Caenorhabditis elegans: one gene and its partner. The protein of the gene in region 1 purifies or fractionates together with the protein of each later gene. This does not show direct contact. Each region holds a gene or a part of one and is shown on either strand. Other genes may lie near its edges. The genes, in order: K11H12.5 and T08G5.1.

What was found.
Region 2: the proteins of K11H12.5 (region 1) and T08G5.1 fractionate together in Caenorhabditis elegans (co-fractionation; one large-scale study listed by BioGRID). This does not show direct contact.

Annotation. Positions count from the first base shown.
Region 1 is NC_003282.8:674,019-681,171, forward strand, and holds K11H12.5 (DUF4276 family protein), read left to right. Parts: upstream 1-2,643; 5' UTR 2,644-2,665; exon of another isoform or gene 2,666-2,690; intron 2,691-3,592; 5' UTR 3,593-3,597; coding exon 3,598-3,968; intron 3,969-4,294; coding exon 4,295-4,451; intron 4,452-4,808; coding exon 4,809-5,153; 3' UTR 5,154-5,212; downstream 5,213-7,153. Other genes in the region: K11H12.4 (CUB_2 domain-containing protein), read right to left, coding at 76-444, 498-720, 1,085-1,364, 1,412-1,560, 1,608-1,693, 1,739-1,855; K11H12.10 (Neuropeptide-Like Protein), read left to right, coding at 2,348-2,511, 2,562-2,643.
Region 2 is NC_003283.11:14,016,368-14,022,394, forward strand, and holds T08G5.1 (Titin), read left to right. Parts: upstream 1-2,398; 5' UTR 2,399-2,832; coding exon 2,833-2,875; intron 2,876-2,919; coding exon 2,920-2,988; intron 2,989-3,262; coding exon 3,263-3,686; intron 3,687-3,729; coding exon 3,730-3,814; intron 3,815-3,860; coding exon 3,861-3,965; 3' UTR 3,966-4,021; downstream 4,022-6,027. Other genes in the region: srh-308 (Serpentine Receptor, class H), read right to left, coding at 1-133, 184-377, 891-1,209; mtl-2 (Metallothionein-2), read right to left, coding at 2,004-2,179, 2,237-2,252; T08G5.15 (T20D4.11-like domain-containing protein), read right to left, coding at 5,915-6,027.

The DNA of each region.
Region 1 (7,153 bases):
CTGCTGATCAAATATAATTGAGACTTAAAGGATTTATGATTAGCACCAGATAGCATGAGAGACATAATGAGAACGTTAACAAAATACCATTGAAAGAAGCAATGAAATCAAAATATGGACTCCACAATTTGAAGATGATCCTTTGGTGGTAGTGATTATTCGTGATGTAGTTACTGCTGTGCTTGCTACAGTAGTCGTCGATGTTTGTAGCATTAAGCTCGTTGCGACTGTACTTGTCAGTGGTTGAAGATCACCCGCAAATGCGAAATATTGAATGTAAAATGTTCCAGGAAGCGTAGATGTCGAGGTAACTGTCAGATTTACCGGTGCTGCAGGGGACCAGGCATAGTTTTGTGTCTCACTTTCTTTTCTTAAAGTATTCGAAAAACTAGCACCGACAAATTGCAATTTGATGGTAAGATCATCGGTGATATATGCAGAGTCCTGTAAAATTGAGAGCTTATAAATATTAAAAAGGAAGGTTATCCAAAACTCACGAAAAACCCAGACGCAGACGATCTTGAAGTATCTGATTGGAAGTTGACGACACGGTCGGCATAGAACGATTTACCCACAATAATGCCAGTTGTGTTGACGGCAGTGGTCGTATAACTGTGATCACTCACATATTTGTTCTCTAAAAACAAATTGAAGGGACCCATAGAAGTGATGTACCAATAGTTTAGGCCAATTTGAAGGGGTTCGATGTTGTCGAAGAAACTGGAAGATATGAAGACTTATTTATGAAAAAGTTATATCTGAAAATGTTAAACAGTTGAAGATCTAACTTCAACATACTCAAATTTGCGATCCGTTAGAGATTGACAGCACTTTCCGCTCAATCTTTCGTAACCTCCTAGTTTTTTTAAAGGAAAATTTTGAAGATAGCTATTTTCAAGCTGAACACGGCCCAAATTCGGTCAAATGGCTGGCATCAGAAGGCCCAACCCGACTAGAAGTGGCTATCCAACAGCCGCAAACGGCCCAACAACCAAGGAGACATTTTGAACAACAATTGGGCCGCGTTCTAGTTTTCGGTCTCATCTGTTCTGTTTATGCTTGACCTAGGCTTCTTTATACTTACACTTTAAAATGTGGACCCGTTCCATTTTTCAACTCGATTGGATTTCGGAAAAATGTATTATTGGTCACATCATTCCAGTTCGAAGCAGGAATATCCCATTGGAAGTAGAGATTTGTATTCGGGGAATGATCGATTTTTGTCACATATGATATGGCTCTTGGCATATCGTAGTCAATAAGCTCTTGTCTTAAAACAGTATTGAGAACTACTACTGTTGACTTCATTCCCATTTTGCTGATTGATTGAGTGGTCTTGAGGACGTACACAGAAAAGGTTGGATCTAAAAATTCCCAGACTTAATTTGAAGATTTTCTAGGTGATATTTACCTTGTGCTTGTAGATATGTAGTGACATAGATATATCCACTAAGCCTACTGGTTGTGGTGTCATTGTTACTGGTTTGAAGAATCACACTTCCAGCTGCAGTGATAAACTTTGGAGATCCATCATCGTTCAAATCGTTCAACTTATCTAGGCTAAAGTTAATAGGTTGCTATTTTTAATAAAACTAATAAAATATTACGTAATAGTTGTAGTCCCCGTTGTAAGCTGGATATTCTTCAGATACTGATTGTCATCACCGGATGCTAGAAAAATCTTCCCTCCACTCTAAATTCAAACATTGAATTGAAATCACATTGATTAAGTCCTTACCTCAACACTGATTGTCAATGATCCAAGTGAAGTAACTCGGAATAGATTCACCACTTTCGGGTCGGCGTGCACCGAAAAAATAAATGAAAGAAGGAAGAAAACACAAACTCTAGACATGGCAAATAGTGAAAATTCAATTGAGTAACAGTGCTTAAAAGCGCCAGACGCTCAGGACTGATAAGCAATTTTAATGGATTTTTTGCAAAAAATGACGTGAGGGGGAGAGAGGTGAGTCAATTTTTGACCGAATTTCAATACGTACCTAGTTTGATATAGAAAAAGGTGATTGTTATATCATCATTACTATAAAATATGAATTCGTTTCGGTGGAGTCATCGTGAGCTGAAGTGTGATCATTGATTTTCTATTATTTCTTAATTGTAACAGGTTAGATTAAATCTCAAATTTTAGAACTTTTCAAGCACAGGTAATTCGCAATGTCCACATAATGCCTCAGTGAGCACAATGAACACCATTTACAAGTCGCGGATTGCGCATCATGTGTCCATATCTGCAAAGAATGGAAAGCCCTGAAAAAAATGCTCTCACACTTAAAATTTTTCTCATCTCCATATCATTTACATATCTGAACATATTTCCCACATTTCTATGCAAAATTCAACTATAAAACTGATTCCTTCTTCTTTCAAAATATCAAACATTTTCCAAATAATGTTCCGTCAATTCTTCACCATCCTTCTCTTCGTCGCTCTTTTTGGCACTGCATCAACCTACATGCCACACCATAAGACCGCCGATTCAGACAGTGATGAGTGAGTTTTCTGAAATTCTCTGAATAATGACAGAAGCTCAACCTTTTCAGGATCGTAGCCCGAGTCGAGCAGCCAATGAAGCTCCGAACCCTTCGTCCAATCAAATTTGGTCCAGGCGGCAGATATGAGTAATTGATGATTGTTATCATAAGTCGTGAGTAAAGTTTTTGAGCATTCCATTGCAATGTGTTTCATTTGCACCTGCCTGCCTACATGCCTTCAAGGCTACCTTCTTATGGCTTGACCTACCGCTGAACCACGTGCCAATTTCTACGCCTGCTTACCAGCTTTGAAAGCTACCTACGGTTGCCTCACGCTTATACCTACAGGTAAACTCGTAGGAATTTTTCGCCTACCTGGACGCCTTCAGAACATCCTGCAGCAGTTTCTATTTTCTTTCCTGATGTTCCTGACAGGGCGGATAAGAGGCGCCCCTTCACGCCTTGACCGGTCCTCTTCAGTCTGGAAAAGATAGTACACATCTCAATGCAAACTGTAATGACCCGAGACTGGAGAAGATAGGAAAGTTACCTTTGTTTGCGCGCACACCGCGCACTCTCCCGGCCTCTTGTCTCTCCATAGTACTTGCCAGAGAGAGGCTATAGTCTTCCATCGATTTACTCCTATCGAAATATTATTATTATTATTTTGCACCATACACTACAAGTGATTTTTACAATTTTGCGTACTTTTTTTTTTTAATTGTTCCCTTTTCTTTACTTTTAGTTTTAAAGGCTTTTAAATCTCTTCTACGGAAGTTATTTTATTTTTATTTAGCTTCGTAATCTCTCCGTTATTACACTAATATTTTATAAGACTTTCGTAATAATCAGACTTTTTTTTTGGCAAACTTACCTGCCTCGGGCCATCTTGCCTACATGTCCCTTACGCCTCTGTGCCTATGCGGACTATGCCAGGCCTATTAGCTGCAAGCCTACGTGCCTACCTTTTGCCTATTTGCCTAGATACTAGAATCCGCTATTTTCATAGCTCAAATTCTGGTTTCCCAAATTTGCTAATTTTTTTTGTAAAACATTTGTTAAATGTGTAAAAAAAATGTTGGCAATTTTTAAATTTCCAGACAAGATGGCCGAGACCTCAAACGCCTCAGCAGAGCCCGAGCTCATTTATTTTGAGGTGACAAGTAACGAAGAACGTTTTGTGCATATGGTATTCCAAATGGCCAGCAACACCACAAATCAATTCCTTATTTTTGTAAAAGACGATGAGACCTGTTTTCGTGCTCAACGTGCACTTTATTCATCCGGTGAGATGACGCAGTGCTTTCTGAAGAATATGAATAAAGATGCCTTCAAAAAAAGGAAACAGGAATTGAAAAATGGAACGGCTAAAGTTTGGATTGCTGATAGATCTGTTATTGGAAAATTGGTGGATTGTTTTTCGAAAGAGCTGACCGTGTTTTTGTATGATGGAATTTCGAATGATTTTCCAAAACAGTAAGTTGTAATTTTTTAAGGTTTTGGATAGGTAGGTCGTTAGGCGTACGTGCGTACCTGCCTGCCTACAAAGGTTTATGTTCTGACGGTAGGCGTCCACAGGACAGACGAAAGATGTTTTGAAGGCAGGTAGGTAGATATAAAGTGCATTACTAAGTAGGTGTAGGCACATGGCAAGCGAAGATTGCCTTGCGAGTAGACGGGTAGGCTAATTCGTTATTAAGTGTAGGCGCCAGGCAAGTGTAGGCACTCTCTCTCTCTGAGACAAATGCGTAGGCATTCTGTACCTTCTTGTAAAGCTTACCCTAAACATTTACTTTTTGCAGAGCCGTCGGTAAATGTCATTCTGTGATATCTCTCAAGCAAAGTAGGCATACTGCTGTTAACACCTCGGACGGATTATTTGAGCAAGTTTTTCACATTTGCCAACTGTACAATGCGACTTTCACATCACCGATCAAGGATTGGATGGCCAGCTCAAAAGTAGGTTTTAACCTTGTTTTTGAAGGTTCTGCCTGCCTAATAGGCACGTAGATAATAGGCCAGGAATAAGGAAGGTATGTAGGCAGGCATGTAGGCAGGTACGTAGGCAGGTATGTAGGCAAACAGTCAGACACGAGGCAGGCACATAGACAGGCAAGCAAATGAGAAGGCATACAATGGGTATGTTGGAAAACACGTAGGCAGTAAACAGGTACGTAGGTGTTCAATCAGGCAGATAAGAATGAATTAGGTACAAGGTAAGCAGGTAGACAGGCATGCAAGCACACATACAGCAAAATGAAAACCGGGCAGGCAAGAAGGTAGTCCAGACACGTTTCCAACATTTTTTAATTGCAGAATGGTGACCTTCCTGAAAACGCAGATACCATGAAGCTCGTCATTGCTCGTCCATCGGAGCTCCTAAACTCTGCGAGCACATTACGATCGTTTAACGACATTGTTGCAAAAGATCCGCGGATTCTGAATCTAATGGAAGCTTTCAAAGTTATCGAGAATAAAGCTAGAATTGACAAAGATGACAATTCAAGAGGAATGCTGTACCTTTGTGTTAAAATGAGATCTGAATTGGATGGACAGTATGTCACGAAAAACAAGGCCGATCAGTTTTATCGGGTGGAATTTAATACGTTGAAGAATATGAAAAACAAAAGCGAATTCCTTCGAAAAATGTGTCCGTCTTAATTGTATGCAAATTTATGAAAGTTAGATTTTTCGATAATAAATAAACTTTTATTGAAAAATTCTGAAAAATTGATGAAAATTCCGCAGCACCGAAAGTTTGAAATTACCGTACTCTCATTTGACAATAAATTTGTCGCGTCAAGACCATAGGTACCGTATTTTTGGTGCAAAATCCGCCTGGGTAATAATTTTGGTATGTTCAATTTAAAATAAATGTCAATTATGATTTTAAAAATTATTTATTCTGAAAATTTTTTTGGCGGGAAATTTTCGAGTTCAAAATATTATATAATTATTCGGTAAGGACTAAATGTATTTTCAAAAATTGAAAATTAAATTAAAATTAAATTCTAAAAATTGTTCCAAGAAATTGAAATTCAATTTAAATTTTTTTGAAAATAATTTTCTCTGCGTTTTGGTGAGAAATTAAAATTTTAATGTTTCAATAATTATGGTGGTAAACTCAGATTGTAGCTTTAAAATACATTTTGGCGGAAAATTCCAATTTTTTAATAAAAATGCTGAAAAAAATATATAGGCAGGCACGTAGGTAGGTAGACATGTGTCATCACCGTTGGTCTCAAAATGTGACTGCCTACTTCTGTGCTCCACCAATTTCATACATTTTTCGCTGTTGTTGTGTTGTTCTATAGTTTTTTTTCCCGCAAAACAATACACATTACTTTTCATGTCAGAGCAAAAGCCACATGATGTACATATGAAATCCAAGGAAAAGTCACAAATAAAAAACCAAAGAAAACGTAAAGCCAGGCGGTGATTGTAAAAGGCCATCTGGTGAATGAGGAGGAGCACACACACACACCTATCATAAACACATCATCATCAAAAGTTGGCGGAGCAGCGGAGCAGACGAAGGGTGTTCACACATTGTTGTGTTATGCGGTGTTCTTTTTTGTCTTGTTTACGATGATTGGTCGAGCAGAAGCTTTTTTACTTGAGTATAAACTTTTTGCAACTGTGCTCTACAATAGCCCCAGTTTTTTTTTTGGATTTTCAAGGTTTTTCATCCAATGTTCTTGTATTTTTGAGCTTTTAGAACACAGTTTTTATTAAGTGAACTGGTGACTAAAATGGCTAGAAAACATATTACAACAAAATGATTTTTTTCCTGAAAATTATGGAGTTCATGCTTTCCAGTATAATGTTTCTAACTTCAAAATTTCCCATAACTAATCATAGAAAACAGACAAAAAATTTTGCTCAGTTTGGAGGCCCTTTGAAAGTTACAAAAATCAGGTGCCGGTTTACCGATTCGCCGAAAATGTTGATTTCCGGAAATTTGCCGATTTGCCCTTGCCGAACATCAATTTGCCGGAAGTTTTTAGAGAGATTTTTTAAAAGACGGAACCACTTACCCTGTGCCTCTTGAAATGTTTTCCTATCTTTTCTAGATATGTTGACAGAATTTGCTTACTTTTCTAAAGAGATGTAGGAACATTCATAGGATACACACAATTTTGCCGATTCTGAAATTTCCAAAAAGAAAGTGCAAAACCCAAATTTGCCAAAAATTGTTGGCAATTGCCGTTTTTCCGGCAAATTCGGACAATCGGCAATTGCCGGAAGTTTTCAATCCCGACAATTTACCGATTTGCCGATTTGCCGGAAAACACAGTAAAAAAAAATCTAAACACTCATCCCTTACCACCAATTATCACTCCCAGACTTCCCGAAAAAGGGTCAAAGGAAATTATGCAAGTGGCGGTGCCCTGTCGATGGGCACTTGATTAGAGATGGGCGAACACTTTCTGCCGAGAGAGCACTGTTTGCTCAATAACTATCAAATATCAGCAAGCACACCTCCAGTTAATCATGGTCAGCGGTGTGTCCCGCCAAATGTTTGCTCGCCCTGCAAAAAAAAGGTCATTTGCCATTTTCCGGTTGGAGCAGATTTCTTTGCACTTTAAGTTTTTTTTTTCTGAGTGTGATTTTGTATTCTGGAATTGTCATTTTCAGGTTTCATTAAAATTCTAATTTAA
Region 2 (6,027 bases), on another chromosome or scaffold:
CGAGAAAATACAATTTTTGGGGAAGACATATGAAGAACATGCTCAAAAGACAGGCATTGACTATTGTATTATCAGTGGCAAATACAAAATATTCCCGACGATTGAGAACTTCATTTGGAATACATGGATTTATCTGTAATTCACTTTTTGGTTAAAGCTTTCAAAAAAAAAACGAAAACTCACATTTTTCACATATTGCTTTGCTACTTCAGGATTCGGTAGTTTTAAATATGCGGGAATAATAAACGTCACTGATATAGTATAATTTAATACAACATATAAGGTACGTTTCCAGTTCAGTGATCCGTTTGTTGTATGCCCATGTATTAGTCGGTGATAGCGATCTTCGAAGAATATGGTTACAGCCACGCACATCACTGAAATATATTGAATTGTTCGGTTCCTCTCAAATTGAATAATTTAAAAAGGAATAGTAGCTTGAAAACCCTAGAGTAAACATTAAATTCGTAACTTGGGGAACTTGCTGTCAAACTTTGGCAGTTCTCTGTCCAACCTTCCAACAAACTTAGTCAATCTTCTGCCAAACTTTGGAAACTTTTGGTCAAACTTAGACAACCTACTGTAAAATTCTGGGATTTTTCTCTCAAACCTTGACAACTTACTCACTCTCGGAAGTTACAAAGGTTCGACAGAAAACTGCCGAAATTGGACAGAAAGTTGTCAAAGGTGCGTTGCCAAAATTTGGCACGAAGTTTTCTTTAAATAAAAAGCCAAAGACATCACAAAAAAATTGGGAATCAAATAATTTGTTATTGAGATTAGATTAATTCATATCGAAACTGAAAACATAATAAAGCTTCTGTTTTCAATAAGACGTTTTATATTTATTATACTATTACCATTAGTTAGCCAATTCAAAATAAACTAACCCCCAACAAAAACACATCCAAGATAAACCTGAACATCAGTTGGAATACCTAATATTAAAGAGAATCCAAGAGGATATCCTGAACTGACAGGTAGTGTTAGCATTGGAGATGCAATAAAGCTTAGATATAAATCGACGATTGCTCCCACAATGTGCAATAAGACCATGTTGAACTTTACAGAACATATTTTGCGCGGAGTTTTAGTTAAAATAATATATGCTCCGAACAATTGAACGGTCACTTCGATGGCTGTAGGTACGTGAAGAATTCCAGCATAGAACTCATCAGTCGCAAATAAATTAATATCCTCGGTGCACATTTTGAGGTATTGAGGTAATAAAGTAAATCACGGAGAGAAATTAAAAAGGGATAAAAGCTCATAATTTAGCTAGGAAACGTTTTCACCTGTTCTAAAACTGATCACTCAATAGGATAAGCTTTTCGCGTCTGAGATCTTTTGCACATGTTCTTTGGTAGTTTCCATCTAAACCCATTCAAACATATGAGATCAAAAGTTAGTAAATACTTTAAGCAAATTTCCAACAAAAAAATTCCAAAAATTTCCAAATGTTCGAGATATTGAAAATTGATAACCTCATTAAAAGTTTGGGCACAATTTTTAAATTTTCAGTCGCACTATTTGTAGTTTTTAACAATTTGGTTGATGCATTAATTGATTTATTAAGTGAAAAGCAGCTGAAAACAAACCACACAAAAATGTTTTTTCCTGGTTCTGAGATCTTTTGAATTAAGAAATAACACCTGACCCATTTGGGTCAAATGATTTTTCGTAATTTTCAAAATTGTCTTAACTTGATAAATGTTTTCCACTGTCTATAAAATTGATAATGGATTCAGTCTGTTCGGAAAAAGATTTATATTTTACTTGAAAAGGAACAAATCGTGTGAAGATCAAAAGTGATGATCAAAAGTTTTCCTTGAATTTTATCGCGATTCCCATAATTTTTGCTTCTGGTCGTTGACAAGGAAGACAGTTTAAAAATCTAAGAAATTACAATAAATATTTAACATTTATTTCAGCTTTCAAGAAAAAACCTCGAACAATATCAATTAGTAGGAATTTGTTTCAAAGGGAAGAGTATTAATTTCAAATTAATGAGCAGCCTGAGCACATTCGCAGTTGGCACACTTGCATCCTCCGGCACATCCAGATTTGCAGCATTTCTTCTCACTGGCAGTTGGGCAGCAGTATTGCTCACAGCACTTGGCGTCGGAGCAATCGCAATCTTTAGTTCCGGTGTTGCAGGAACAATTTTGGTTTTTGCAGTCTGGGAAAGGGGGTTTCATTCAAAATTAATTAAAAGCGTAATGAAATTTCAACTTACCACACTTGCAGACCATTTTTGAGTAGAGCCTTTGAAGCTTGATTCTCATGTCTGCTGGTAGGCCTTTTATATAAATTTTCAAGCGACAACCTATTTGAGGCAGCTGATAACAGCACAAGCCTATCACAATGTACAGTCACTGATAAAAGCTTTGAAAACTTCATTCAAATTTATCCAATTCTTCTGAACTTTATGAAGCAGTAAGTACATTGCGTGCACAATTATTTGGATTTTTGAAAATAAAATTTGATAGATTTTGAGCTATATTCTGAGAAGTTGAATTTTCCGTCACAACTCTAGTTTGTGATAGAGGCCTTTATCAGTTAGGTGTGTGAAGTCATGCCTCAAACATACTTGGTCACCTGCAGTACATAAAATTTCAGGTACAAACAAGATTACGGTAATTACTAGCTTTTCCTTGAAAATTAGAAATGAAACATGTAATTTTCCAACTACTGTACTTTTTAGAATAAAGTAGTCTCTGATCTACTCAGCTTCAGCTCATTAGCTATTCCATCAATTATTCTCACTTCCATGGTTACATCCCACGTTTGTTTCGTTCCACTGAACCATTTTCGTCTCTTTTTGTATTCTCTATGGGACAAAAAAGTTCCAGAACCGCTCCAGAACATGTAGAAGGTTTGAAATATTATTTAATTTAGAAAAGAAAACTGAGATTTCAGAAGATAGACATAGCGCCTGGGGAAGTGATATTGATGAAACATTATGTGGCCCAGGAACTCTTTGTGCAGGTTTGTAATTTTATTGTTTAACTTATGTTTAACCGTAATTAAAAAATTACCAATGTCAAATAATACTACACCGGTAAAGCGGGGTCCCCAAAAACAACCCTTCTGCGGCTGACTGATGAATAGGCTATTTCGGGCCAGCGGGCAAACTTCGAGGCTTGCTATTTTAATCCTGAAACAATTCCAGGCAGAAAACAAGAAAAAATTCTTCCTCCTTTTAGACACTATCGTGATATCCTGCCTTACCCGTAAAAGTGATTCAATTTTAAAATTTCAGACGACTGGACCCCATTCAACTCTGTGCCAACAAGCCCTGATTCTGTCAGAAGGCGCTTTAGTGAAGCTCGTCTTCAGGAAGATGTTATTACAGAGCAGCCAAGATTATTTGACAATCATTCTCGTGAACAAGATGACGATAGAATGATGAATTACGAAGTGATGACTATTCGGGAAGTTGAATCACCGATTATTCTACCTGGTCCAATTTACACAACGGAAACACATAAGAAGAAAAGAAAAGTGAAGAAACAGCCAAAGCGAATAGTTAGAAGAAAAATGAGAAAGCAAAGAAATACTTCAACTTCTCGAAATACTCAAAATAACGAGGATGTTACTGTATTAAGAAACTTTAATAGTATAAAGCACCATCAAAAACCCAGAAACATTGCATATCGTCCAAGACATCACTCCAGAAAAATTCGGTGAGCTCTGACACTCATTACACAACCATTTAAAATTTTTCAGAGTACATCAAGACCCACGTTATCCAACAATTCCTCCACCTACTATCAACTATGGTCTTAAATTCAGGAGGTGCCATCCGGATGATGTAAGTTTTGTGGATTTTATAGGCTAAATAATTCAAAATTTTCCAGAAAAATCGATTTGTAAAAGCAGTGCCACCGAGTCATCTGAAAGGAAAGTCAATATCCGCAAAACAACCATTTAGATATCGGGGAATCCCAAAAATTATAATGTGATTCCTGCTTTAATTTTTGAAAGTTGTATAATCAATTAAAGAATTTGAGAGCTCAAAAAATACCTTTTTACTTTTATAAAAGAAGAACAAATGAATATTTTATATGTAGTCACGTATAGATAGTAACACAAAATTAACGAATTTAATAACTAAATCTGAAATATAGAACTACAAACGTCTCTAGTATAAAAAGTAATCTGGCGACCACTGTTTTTTTAGAAATTAGAAACTTGATACTGAACCTTCAATTAAAATGTATAGTTTTGAGTTTAGCTTGTACTTGAAAAAATAATTTATTAACATATCCATGCTTGAAGTCGAGAATTCAAAAACATGTGATATCGCTGATAAGCCCTCATATTGCACGTGTTCCGAACTTCTTCCATCGAGCAACTGCTCACAGATTGAAGTTTTGAGCATTTCAACTCATGAAAGATTCTATCTGAAAGATTTGAGAAAGTTTTGAAGGCTCAACCTGATCCCAAATATCAATTTACCACAAACAGACAAAAAACTCAATAAATTTGCCAAATATTACTTTTTTTGAAATTCTACAATTCTTTCTAATTTCCTCATTTGAATTGCATCTGAATTTGACTGAACCACACTTATTTTCCCGTGACTCACTTTCGTTTTTATCATTTTTGCAACAATTTGTTTTATTTTTTGATATTTTTGATATTTTTTATTAGAGGGAAATGTATCACAAAATAATTTTTTTCACAGAAAACTCTAAAAAATATTTATCAAGTTTGTTGAATTCGAGAATACTTAATGTTTATTGGAGATAAAAAATTAAAAACTTAAATTTCTTTCAAACTTAATAAACTGTTCAAATTGTTTTCATATGGTGTTTCATTTTTTATTTTGTTTTATTTTTCAACATCTTTCAAACTCACATTAACATCGAGAACTGTTTCCATTGACTTTTTGAAGCATTTTCCATATTGGTCCTTCATTTTTAGAGCACATCTCCAGAAGATTTTGCTTGCAAAAAATTGGTAAAAACTGCAAAAGGATAGTAACTTCTCAACGGATTTCGCATCGTAGTCCATACATCTTTTGAGTACTGGAAAATTTGCCTAAAACTAAAATTTGGGTAGAAAAAATTGATTTGATTCACCAACCTCTATTGTGGAACAATATCCATTCATTCGTTCAATTTTTTTCGGGTTTTGTAGACTTGTTGAATTTTTGAAAGCAGCAACGCCATCAAAAGCATTGAGACATTTTTCTAATGCTGCCTGAGTTTTCGCTGATGTGCAGAATGAAAATTGATAGGCCGTGGTTATCTTCGAGTTTTGCGTGGAGCTTTTTTTAAAAATTTTATTGGGAGTTTTTGTATAGCTTGGAAATGATTTAGTTGCAGAAGTAAAATTAGCCACAATTTTTACATTTACTGTAACCAAAATAATAAGAAATTGAAAATAAAATAGCATACCTTTAGAGTTTGAAAATAAAAAAACTAGTGCTACAAAGTGTGGCCATTAATCATAGTTTCAATGTTTTTATTTATATAATCCCAGATTTGATCACTGTATTTTCAATCTTTGTTCAACATTCTACCATCCATTGGTTCAGTGTTTGACCATTCAAAAATATTTTTCAAGTTTGAATGATAGGTTTGGTAGTCGTGCCCTGTTGTGTATATTCACGTTAACTTTAATCAATTCTGAGGCAGCGAATTTTGAACAGGCTGACTTGAACTCGGCCAGGAGGCACAGAAACAAAAATAATTTTCAGATTTCATCTGTTTTCAAATAAATAGAATTGAAAGTGTACTTGAACATTGAAAGGTTCTCATAAATATTTTAGAGGATAACATTGTTTTTATCAAATATTCTCGAAAAATCTATCAGATGTTTTACAATCATCATATTAATATAGTTTTACACATTTACACAATAAATATTTACATTGAAATCATGAATACAACCAGGATAAAAATAATTAACACATCCATGTCTGTATATGACGATTCAAGAACATTTGGTAGCTTTGAGTTCCTCTCACGTTGCACGAGCTTTCTACTTCTTTCACTGAACAACTATTCACTGCAATCA